Mus musculus: one gene and its partner. The protein of the gene in region 1 interacts with the protein of each later gene in a biochemical or structural test. Links are inferred from orthologs where the notes say so. Each region holds a gene or a part of one and is shown in the gene's direction. Other genes may lie near its edges.

Region 1 (5,916 bases):
TCAGACCCCAACCCATCCCAAAACTGTATATAAGATCCTATCCAGAAGGAATCAAGGTGTGTGGCAATTACTCTGTCACCTGAGAGCATCTGTCACAAGAGCTGTAACAATTCCTGGGAAGAGAACGCTCTCCCAAGGCTTTCACCACTAGCAGCTTCGTCCCTGAACCTCTGCTTGCTAGCTGAGCCCTCTGCTGCTCTTCTCTGCGCACGACTTGGCTGGCCAAAGATCTCTGAGGATAGCATCTGGTATGCAGACTGGCTGGCCATGCTTGAGTTCCTGTCCTGGCTTCTCCAGAGATGGACTATAATATGGGATTGTAAGATGAATAAACCCTTTCCTGCCAAATTTGGTCATGGTGTTTTGTTACACCAATAGAAACCCTAAAACGGTTGTGAACCACCTTGTGAGTGCTGGGAATTGAACCCAGGTCTCTGGAAGAGCAGCTGGTGCTTTTTTTTTTTTTTTTTTTTTCCGAGACAGGGTTTCTCTGTGTAGCCCTGGCTGTCCTGGACTTCACTCTGTAGACCAGGCTGGCCTCAAACTCACAGGGATCCAATTGGCTTCTTTAAAACGCTTAAAACATTTTCTTTTTTTCCTTTTGGACAACGATTTGCTGACTCATTGTGATGGATGGACTTCCTCTAGCAGCCAAGTGAGTCCTTCTCCTTCCCAGGCTTTGAGGATTCGTCAAGATCTTGTCAAGTTTCTTCGACCTTCTCTGGCCTCAGCAGCTACTTCCAGAGCCAGCTTCCTCCCTTAGAGCACAAGTGTCACCTGGTGTGGTGGGACACATGTAAAGCCCTGTATAGTGACTCCAGCTCTTGTCTTAATCTGTTTCCTCCCCAGGTTTACAAAATTGCTGCTCCTCCTGACGGTATGCCAGCCCTTCTTATTCTTACCCAACTTTGCTACTGCTAGAAGGCTGTGTTGGGAAGAGTTTAGTCAATAAGGAGAGAGAAGCCATATAGTAAGCCCAAATTGAGCTTAATATAATTTATCTAAAAAAAAAAAGTTTTAGGCTGGGCATGGTGGTACATAACTTTAATTCTAGCACTTTGGAAGCAGACACAAGTGGGTTTCGGTGAGCTGGAAGCCAGCCTGGTCTACAGAGTTTCAAGATAGCCAGGGCCTCACAGAGAAACCCTGTCTTGGAAAAAAAGAAAAGAAAAGAAAAAGAAAGATCCTTCTGTTTGAAATCATTTCCTTTCCTGCTGACAGGAGTCAAGGAAAGAAAAAGTTGAGCATGGAGAGGAAGTGCCTGCTGGGAGCAGGGCTTGCCTTCCTCCAACCTCAATTTCCCCATTTTAGCTGAAGACAATGAATAAAAATACCCACTCAAGCCCGGGCTACATAGTGAGATCCCCGCTTGAAAACAAAGAAGGTGGAGGATGTGGTTCAGTTGACAGGGTGCGCGGGAGGCACAGCACTTCAGACACCCATCTTGGTGGCACACTCCTGTAATCCCGGGAGTGCTGGGATTAAAGAGGTACACTCCCCACCCCAAGGCAAGAGACTCCATCTCAAAACAAACCAACCCGCCACAGCAGAATAGAGAGAGAACAAAACCTAAGGTAAAGCCATGAGCTATTCTTACTTGAAACATAATGAAAACCTTAACGATTTCCCTTCTCCTCCTCGTTTCACACACACATACACGCGCGCGCGCAGAATAATATGATTTCCCGGTTGCTCCCGAGCAGATCCACAGTGCTTTTTTTTTTTTTTTTAATTGTGGGGCACCAAGTAACTCCTATCTTTCCTCTTCTTTAGCGGGTGCTGATGGTCACCAACACAACCAGTTCCCTGTGCCTGAGCGCCGACCAAACGTGACCCTCTCCCCTCCATTCTTGGCTTCCAACTCCACCCAAAGGCCCCATGAATCACGTCTTCGCAAGAGTTGCACTCCTAGGCAATGTGACTGAGCAAGATGGTCCTCTGCCCTAAGCCGAGAATAGGATAGGGTTCCATAGGACCCCCAACCCACGTGCTCCAAGCCTCCCTCCTCAGGAGCCACCTTCCGGTCCGACGAAAACTACATTTCCCAGGGTGCATAGAGGCGGGTCCTTGCTTCAGGCAGGGGCCCCTGGCGGTGTGCCGTTCCGTCGCCTGTTCGGGGGCGCGCGAGCTAGCACGAGGACAGGGCCAAAGACCCGGAATGAGTTTCCGCGTAGTTCCGCCGTGCCGTGTCTCGATGTGCTTGGCCGTGCCGGGCCAGGACAAGCGTGGGTGGGGGCCTAAGTTGGTGGTACTGGCGACAGGCGCTCGGGACAGCCCGAGTCTTGCTGAGGTCCCCGCCCCGTCCCGGCCGGGCCGGCCTGTCTGTCAGTCACTGGGGCGGAGGCAGCGACCGTAGCGGGGCCAACGCCGGGAGGCGAACAGATCGCGGGCCAGGCGAACGGAGGGGACCTATCTCAGTCCCCCAACTCTACCGACTCTGCCCCAGACTCACGAAACTGCAATCCCGTGCTTCCTTGGACGTCTCCGTATCTCGCGAAGGGCTCTCTCCCGGGTGATCTCCCAGCCCCCCTGACCTCATAGCATCTAGAAGCTCGTCCAGACTGGGGTGTTATGGGTACAGGCCGTTGATTCTGTGACCCCTCACGGGCCAGGGCCTCTGTTTCCCCTATAGGCCTCCCTCCCCTATGACTTTTGATTCAAGGGACAGAGCTGTGACCTCCCACTAGGACCCTTGTCTGGGAGTACCTCACGGACGCCTCCCTTCTGGGAGCCGCCTTAGCGGGTCCCTTTCCGAAGAGCACATCTTTTGACCTCTGCAACCCACTCCCCCTCCAAACGAGGTGGGCAGGCCTCGGCAGCCATGCCCGCCCTGGGCATCCCCTCATCCCACCACCTCCCGGGTACTCAAGCCGGGGTCTAGCAGGGGGCCGACAGCCAAAGGGCTGGGGCAAGAAAGAGATCAGGGTCCACCTCCCTGCCAGGCAGGGAGCAAAGATGGAGCGGCGGGAGGAGCAGCTGGGGGCTGCAGGGGCTGGAGCAGCACCAGCCTTGGACTTCACTGTGGAGAACGTGGAGAAGGTATGAGGGCCTTGGGGTGGGCACTCCAGTGACAGAGCAGAAGTTCTGGGGACTGACACTAATGCCAAAGCTCAGACGCGGGCTCAGTGCCCGCTGGGATGATGCCCCCAGAGCACCTGGTATTTACCATCTCTCTTGGGCAGCCGGCTTGGACAGCAGTGTTGCAGTGCCTAATGGGCTATTTTGGGCTTTCTGTAGACACAGGTCCCCTTTCGGATAGATACTCTAGGATCTTAGGTTGTTCCCTGTAGGGTGCTGAAGGGTTTAGACTTATAACCAAATCGGCTCCTGCCCAGATCCAGGAGAAAAGCAGGCGGAGTTCTGGAGGGAACCAGAAACTCACAAGACCTGCCACTCAGCCACCCCCACCCCCACGTTAGAAACCACACGGATGCTGAATGATCCTGGACCCGACTCACTTTTTTTCAGTCAAAGGCTCACAAAGATATCTGGAGCTAAACCCGTCTGAGTTATATGTTCATTTATCTTCAGAAAGGGTCTTTTCCTTATTGGATGGAAGTCAAACCGGTCCTGGACAGGCAGGAGTGTGCCTGGCTCTCTTGTTTTGTGCTGGGTCCAAGGGGCTTGGCTCTGCTGGCAACTTTACAGGGCCCTTCCTTCCTTACCTGCCCACATGGCTTTCTGCCATGGCCTCCTTCCAGACTTCTCCATTGCCCAGGCCATCTTTTTCTATTCTATTCTTCTCCCAGCAGCCTGGAATGCAGGAATGCACCCGCCCCACCCCCAATACTCCCAAGGATGATCCGAGAGGTAGGGGTATCCTACTGGATAGCAAGGGGCAGTCATAGAAAAACATTTGTTGTTCTTGAGGCTTGTTTACCTAACAAATGTTGAGAACACATATCTTCTTGTTCGGTCTCTTGTCTCCTTTTGCTTCCTTGAGTGGCTGGCTGTACAAGGGACAGTAGCCATAACTGGCTTTCAGGGGGCGGGAGGGTACAGATTTGGTTAATCCTAGTTGGATGGAGTCCATTTAGGGAACCTGGCTGGCCCTTGGGGCTGGACAGTGTTGGCATGGTGGCACATGGTTGGTTTCATGTGCTGCCAGGGAGATGAGCCATTGTTTTCTCTCTGCATGAAGTCCCAATGGAGTTGGGCCTTGGGGATTCTGCTGCTGACAGCTCCCGGGTAGGCACTTGCTTAGGCTGCTTCTGGCCAAGGCCTCTCTGCATCATCTGATTGGAGACTTACTTGTACTCTCTGAAGATGTATGTTCCCACCCTCCCTTCCAGTGTATCCGTTCCAGAGCTACCTGGCCTGAAGCAGTCCTTCTCAGATTTCATACTGGCTTTAGTGCCAGCCTCTGGAGTGACCTCGGGATGATCCTGGGGGAGCAGATGGAGTTTGCTTGTTGGAATCAATGGGAGGAGCTGTATCTAAAGAGCCAGGCTCCTTCAGGCTGTTCTGTACTTGTCTGGAGCTTACATTTATTCCCCGTGGAGTCATTCCCTCCTCCTAGGCCTTGCCCTTACATACCTCCCTGTGGGACGAGCCCAGCCCCGGCCTTTTCTGCTTTCCTGTGGAGAGTCCCTCTCAGAACCCGTTTGTACTATAAGAAGAGAATATGATAGAGCATGGGCAAGATTCAGGCTTTCAAAAGGTCAGCGGAATCCTGAGCTCTCTCCCTTCCTACTCACTCCGTCTTCCCCCAAGTCAGGGAGAGGCAGCATCTTGCAGGACCGAGTCCCACCCTCTGTTCTGGGCTCTGGCAGGATCCAGAGTAGCCAGCACCTGCTCAGTCCTGTGCTGTCCTGCAGGCGCTGCACCAGCTCTACTACGACCCCAATATTGACAACAAGAACCTGGCTCAGAAGTGGCTGATGCAGGCCCAGGTCTCTCCACAGGCCTGGCACTTCAGCTGGCAGCTACTACAGCCAGACAAGGTGCCCGAGATCCAGTACTTTGGGGCCAGTGCCCTGCACATCAAGATCTCTCGCTACTGGAGCGACATCCCCACCGACCAGTATGAAAGCTTAAAGGCACAGCTCTTCACCCAGATCACCCGCTTTGCCAGCGGCTCCAAAATTGTGCTGACTCGGCTGTGCGTGGCGCTGGCCTCACTAGCTCTCAGCATGATGCCTGACGCTTGGCCATGTGCTGTGGCAGATATGGTTCGGCTCTTCCAGGCTGAGGACTCGCCGGTGGATAGCCAGGGCCGTTGCCTGGCCCTGCTAGAGTTGCTGACAGTACTGCCCGAGGAGTTTCAGACCAGCCGCTTGCCCCAGTACCGCAAAGGTCTGGTGCGGACCAGCCTGGCTGTGGAGTGTGGGACTGTCTTCCCATTGCTGGAGCAACTGCTACAACAGCCCAGCTCTCCTAGCTGTGTGCGTCAGAAGGTGCTCAAGTGCTTCTCCAGTTGGGTGCAGCTGGAGGTACCCCTGCAGGACTGTGAGGCGCTCATTCAGGCTGCCTTCGCCGCTCTGCAGGACTCAGAGCTCTTTGACAGCAGCGTGGAGGCCATTGTCAATGCCATCTCCCAACCTGATGCCCAAAGGTGAGTTACTCTCCAGCTTCCCAGAAAGGGAGCGCCCCATCCATCCCGTAGGCATCAATGGGGTGTCTGTCATACGCGTCATCCTACGGAGACAAAAGATGCAGGCGAGACACGGTCCCTATTCTCACTGTGGCAAAAGTGAGGCAGACATTAAACAACTAAATTATCTGGTAGACTATTAACACATTGGCCTGTTCACTTGCCCTCAGCCAGTCACTAAGTCCGTAGCATCCTGCTCCCAGCAAATAATATTGCAGATCTATTATTTCCAGTTTCTGTAACCACCTCCCTAATCCCAGCTGTTATTGTCTCTTTTCCCAGACTTTAGCAGAGATTTCTCGACAGCCTCCTGCTTGCCCCGC
Region 2 (5,856 bases), about 10 Mb from region 1:
TTAAAGGTGTGTACCACCACACCTGGATCTAGGGGAAGAAGAGTGAATCTTCCTTCTTCCAATGTCCTTATGTAGGTCTCCAGCAGAAGGTGTGGCCTAGATTAAAGGTGTGTACCACCATGCCTGGATCTAAGACTTGCTTTGTCGCAGATGACCTTGAACTCAGATCTCCTTGCCTTAATCTCCTGGGATTCATAGCCACTATGCCTCATGATCTCCATGCCAAGACCAGGTCGGAAACTTGTATCTCCCAGCCTCAAGATCAGGACCATAGGTGAGCCTTCCAATTCTGGATTGTAATTCATTTTGAATATAGTCAAGTTGACAACCAGGAATAGCCATTACACCTACCCTTTATGTTAAGGTATTTCACTTCAAATCCACTCATTTTCCAGTTTGCAGCCACTACCTACACATGGGTCATCACCACCACAGTACTACCTTCATGGATTTCCTTAACGACTACCTATCTCCATAACAATTGCACTTCTGGCCTTCCTATTTTCCAGTCGGCTTACATGACAACCAAAGTGATCTTTCTAAAGTGCAGTAGGAGCCAGGCAAGGTGGTGGCACACGCCTTTAATACCAGGACTCCTCTAGAGTCCTGCAAAGGCAGGTGGATATCTGTACCCCAGCCCAGTCTGGCCAATATAGTGAGTTTCAGGCCAGCCAGGGCTACACAGCCAGACCCTGTCTCAGAGAACAAGAAACAAACCAGTGGCAGGGCAGAGAGTGGTGAGACGACATCTCTGGTAACGATGTGTGTCAATTCTTTTTTTTTGAGACAGGGTTTCTCTGGCTGTCCTGGATCTCACTCGGTAGACCAGGTTGCCCTCGAACTCAGAAATCCGCCTGCCTCTGCCTCCTGAGTGCTGGGATTAAAGGCATGTGCCACCACACCTGTCGTGTGTCAATCTTCTATGACTAGAATTTACCGTATTTCACCTACTTGACCTTAAAATTCCCGCACCAGAAATTTGACCTTTCACAGAGGTCAACTTTGGCTCTTGAAAATGAACCTCTTGGGTAGTGGTCTCCACATTTGACCCACCTCGTTTTTGTTTCAGTTTGTGTGTGTGTATCTTACTTGGTAGTCCTGACTGGCCTGGAACTCACTATGCAAAGAGCAGTCTAGGCTTAAACTCACAGAGGTCTACTCCACTCTGCCTCTGAAGTGCTGGGATCAAAGGCATTGGCCACCATGCCCAGTTCTCACCTGGGTATTTTTTTAGAGGCTTCAGTGAAACTGGATTCTGTCAGCATGTGGCTAGGGCTGAGAATCGCTGCTAAATAAGATGACCAGTAGGAGCCGGGCGGTGGTGGCGCACACCTTTAATCCCAGCACTTGGCAGAGGCAGGTGGATTTCTGAGTTTGAGGCCAGCCTGGTCTACAGAGTCAGTTCCAGGACAGCCGGGGCTACACAGAGAAACCCTGTCTCGAAAAACAAAACAAAACAAGACAAAAAAGCCTAGTAGGGATCCAACATTCATTTAACCGACCCACAACACCTATCTAGACATGTTAGCTTGAAAGGGAAGAATGAAAGGCAACTCGTTCATGAGTGGTGACCCTCGTGAGGATGAGGTAGGAGGGTTTGTGGTTTCAGGTCAGTCTGGATCAGGTAGCAGTACTCTGCCTACACGTAAAATAAAGAAATAGCAGAAAGGGATGTTAGCTAAATGCAGGCAAGTTTCAGGCAACATTGTGGAATGGGAAAGGAGTCATTCTTAAAAGACAGCTAAGTAAAGCCAACTTTATTTTTCGGGACAGGGTCTTAGTATGCAGCCACTGGTCTCAAACTCTCATTACGCTCTTTAGACATTTACTACTAATCTCCCGCCTCAGAGCCACCTCCTGATCTACACACTGGGGAGTGGAAGAAGGCGGGGGATGGGGGTGGCAGCGTACTCATAGATGAGCAAATCATTTTGCCTCCTTTTACTGTGGAAACCCATCTAGGTTCAGAGTGTGAATAACCTCGTTCGACTCACTTGTCTCTTTAAATTGAGGTTGCGCCTGACAGGACTCTAGCGCTCAGTGTTGGGCTGAAACCCAGATGCAGTTCTCGGATCCCAAGATCTTCCAGAACTCTCGATATACAACCAAGGGGGCGTGGCGATCTTGACCCAGCGTCTAGGGGAGGGGGCGTGGTAATCTCGTTCCCGCCTCCGGAGAGTGAGAAACTCTTAGTGTCGCGGTGGCAGACGTCATTTCCGCGCGCCACCATTACGCCAGTATAAGACGTAGACCGCAGGCCGTGGTAGTGTCATCCGTTCCTAAAGTTCCGTCCTCCTTGTCCCTTGCGAGGCATGGAGAGTGACTTTTACCTGCGTTACTACGTGGGCCACAAAGGCAAGTTCGGTCATGAGTTCCTGGAGTTTGAATTCCGACCTGACGGTAAGAGCGGCCTCCCGGCTGCGGGCAGTGGGACCGGCCCCGGGGAGGGCGGAGAGAAGGCGGGCTGCGGAATGTGGCGAAGCGAAGCAAGGGACGCCGACCACCGTGCTGTTGGGTCGTGAAAGAGGCATTCTTTTGTCGGCTTCATTGGTTCTTTCTCTTCATCCGCTGGCGATTCTCCTTCGTAGCTTTTTAAAAAGCCAGGTTGCTTACATTCAACAAAGATTTAATGTCCATCTGAGAATGGGCTGTTTGTTTTCCAGTCTGGGGACAGAGCAACAAAAATAAATTTTCCCCTCTCGTGGAACATGTGTTTCAGAGCCGGAAGAAACCACAGCGATCTCTTGTAGTGTGGAGTGATCAAAAAGTAAGGTCGCTTTTAAAGAGCAGTCTGAGGAGTGTGAATTTGAATTAAGCCGTAATTGAAAAGGGATCAATTTTTGAAGTACAGGAAGAAAAGCATCTACAGGAGTAGCAAGTGTCATAGGACCTCAAAGAGCCAGACATATCCAGGTGGTCACTGGGGTGACTGAGAGACAGTAGTAGGGGGTGATGTTAGTCAAGAGCCTCGCTATACAGGTGTTTGTAGTGCTTGCTTGCATACAGCTTCCTTAGTTTTCAAAGTCCTTTCCCAACCCAGTTGAACATCAGCATGTTCTTCTCTGTGCAGCTAAGATAGCATTAAAATTCCTGTTTACAGCTGAGAACGTGTTCTTTTGCTACATCATGGCAGCCTTTTCCCGGGACTCTAGTTTACTGTCAGGTCCTTCTTCTGTTGTTCAGTAGTTTCAAGTGAAGTACCAAAAACACTACTATCACAGCTGGGAAATGGGTTGAAACATTCGATATAATTTAGGCAAAGCTCATATTCTTTGGAGGGTAATGGTGCTTTGTTCATGTTTTCTAATACGTTGCATTCTTTTTTTTTTTTCTTTTTTCTTCCGAAGGTAAATTGCGATACGCCAACAACAGCAATTACAAAAATGACGTCATGATCAGGAAAGAGGTACAGACCTTTCCTTCACTACGACTTAGCCTTTGGTTTCCCATTGCTTATGTTCTCTCTGGTAATGAAAGATGAAGTGTAGGAAGCGAGCACTTATTTCTAAGCAGCTAGATTATTTCTCTGATTCACTCCCCCCCCCCCCCCAGTGCTGAATCAAAAGCTAGTAAGTGTTTGAAATCTGTGTGTCTTGGTTTGTACCCTCGGTGTGCCCCATACTGACCATGTGACCTCAAAACAAGTTCTCTGGCTGAACTTGGTCTCTGTGTTTTCATCTGTAAAACAAAGGATAAGAAAACCTACCTGTGACTCCCAAATGTTATCATAGAATTAAATATATTAGTCCCTAGTACATAGACTATGAAGACAGCATTGACTTTGCTTCTGAAGAGGAAACGGATCAGGGGAAAGTCTCAACCTCGAATTACGCTCTTTAGAGCTAAACCATAGACATTTACTACTACTCTCCCACCTCAGAGCCCCCTCCTGATCCACACACTGGGGAGTGGAAGAAGGCGGGGGATGGGGGTGGCAGCGTACTCATAGATGAGCAAATCATTTTGCCTCCTTTTACTGTGGAAACCCATCTAGGTTCAGAGTGTGAATAACCTCGTTCAAACAATATGTTGTTTAATCCTGATTATAAAAAGCCCATGTGACAAAGTATTCTGCCATACTTTCAATCAGGAAAATCATGGCCTAGATATTAAATCTGAGGATAGTTACTCTTGCTTGTAAGAGATAATGATAGGCATTTGGGCATATCTGAATCTCAGTAAAGGTCATGTGTTCCATTCTGCTGGGATTTCTACTATATCATTAAGGATATGACAGTATGTCTTCATACAATTTAGCAGTTAATTTTATGCCGAATCAGCATCATATCTTTTTCTCTTTGTTTGGTTTGGGTTGTTTGTTTGCATGACCTAGTGCTCCTCAGAAGCAGTTGGTAGAGTGCTTGTCTTCATGAGGCCCTGGGCTTCATCCTTAGCATCACAGAAACTGATCATGGTAGCCATGTTTATATGTCAGCACTGGGGAGGTGAAAGCAAGAAGCTCAGAAGTTTAAGATCACCAAGGCCAGGCTGCGAGGCATGAAACCTTGTCTGTAAGCAGCAGGGTGTATCAGTTGTCTGTTACCACTATAACAATATATCTGACAGAGGCTATTGCCGGATTATTGTCAGGAATGATACAGACCTGCAATTCCATGACTTTGTAGTTGAAGGCATGGGGATTAGAAATTCAAGTTGGACTCAGTAATGGTGGTGGTGATGGTATAAGACTTTTATCACTCGGGAGGCAGAATGAGACGAATCTCTGAGTTTGACGACAGCCTGATATACAGAGCAAGTTCCAGGTCTGTACAGAGAAACTCTGCCTGAAAAAGCCTTTTTAAAAGAAATAATTAGTTCATAGCAAGTTTGAAGCCAGTGAGGCTCAGTGAAATTCTCAAAAATAAAGAAGAGATTATTTAGCTCATCACTCCAGAGGTTCAAAATCCAAACACCGCTGCAGTAGTGAGAATGGGTGTGTGGCCACGCAGTGACCTCTCTCACCAGGAGAGAAACACACAGACATTGGAGGCCCACAATTCCTCTGCTGATATGCTGCAATGATCTAAGAACCCACCATTAATTCCCACCTCTTCAAGGTCTATACCATTTCCCATAGTACCACCCTGAGGACCAAACCTTTAGTCACATAAATGGAGTTGGGAAGGCCACACTGAAATCATGTCCAAGCCATAGAGTAAAGGTGTATCTCTGTCCATTTGCACTGCTATATTAAAATGCCTGAGACTGGGTACAAAGAATAGATTCACCTCTCAGTGAATTCCAAGGCCCTGTCAGGTTGGTTGTGTGGTGAGGACCCCATCTGTTCTATATGGTGTCTTATTGCTGTAGCCTCCCAAAACAAACTTTGTTCTTCACATGACAAAGGGGCGAAAGGGGACCAGATAATTCCCTTGCCTCCTCTGCCCTTGAGCCCTGATCTTTACTAAAGGCTGTGCCTCTCACTCTTCTCACTATTACTTTCTGAGTTGGATGTTGTTGGGGTGCGGTGGTTTGAAGGAGAATGGCCCCTTTAGGCTCATACATTTTAAACTTGATTGCAGGCTTATGTGCATAAAAGTGTGATGGAAGAGTTAAAGAGAATTATTGATGACAGTGAAATCACCAAAGAAGATGATGCTCTGTGGCCCCCTCCTGATCGCGTGGGCCGGCAGGTGAGTGCTTTATTGACTCTACTTTGTACTTCTTACAAAGAGGAGGAGGACTGCTGCTCTATGGGAGGAGGGGTCCCTACAGAACTAGGAATACCCTGTTCTAGGGAATCATTAATTCCATGTTGGTGTTGGGGATGGAACTCAGGTCCTCTAGATGGGCAATCAGTGTTCTTAACTGAGCCAACTTCCCAGTCCTTTATTACCATTTTGATAACTAAAAAAG

The links.
Region 2: the proteins of Ipo13 (region 1) and Magoh form a complex in vitro, tested with the Homo sapiens proteins (2 studies listed by BioGRID and IntAct). The link is inferred for Mus musculus from reciprocal best matches to the Homo sapiens genes IPO13 and MAGOH.

Annotation. Positions count from the first base shown.
Region 1 is NC_000070.6:117,911,411-117,917,326, reverse strand, and holds the start of Ipo13 (importin-13), read left to right. Parts: upstream 1-2,327; 5' UTR 2,328-2,955; coding exon 2,956-3,039; intron 3,040-4,817; coding exon 4,818-5,554; intron 5,555-5,916. UniProt on the Homo sapiens protein: Functions in nuclear protein import as nuclear transport receptor. Serves as receptor for nuclear localization signals (NLS) in cargo substrates.
Region 2 is NC_000070.6:107,877,546-107,883,401, forward strand, and holds the start of Magoh (protein mago nashi homolog), read left to right. Parts: upstream 1-2,209; 5' UTR 2,210-2,312; coding exon 2,313-2,400; intron 2,401-3,347; coding exon 3,348-3,406; intron 3,407-5,522; coding exon 5,523-5,633; intron 5,634-5,856. UniProt on the Homo sapiens protein: Required for pre-mRNA splicing as component of the spliceosome. Plays a redundant role with MAGOHB as core component of the exon junction complex (EJC) and in the nonsense-mediated decay (NMD) pathway.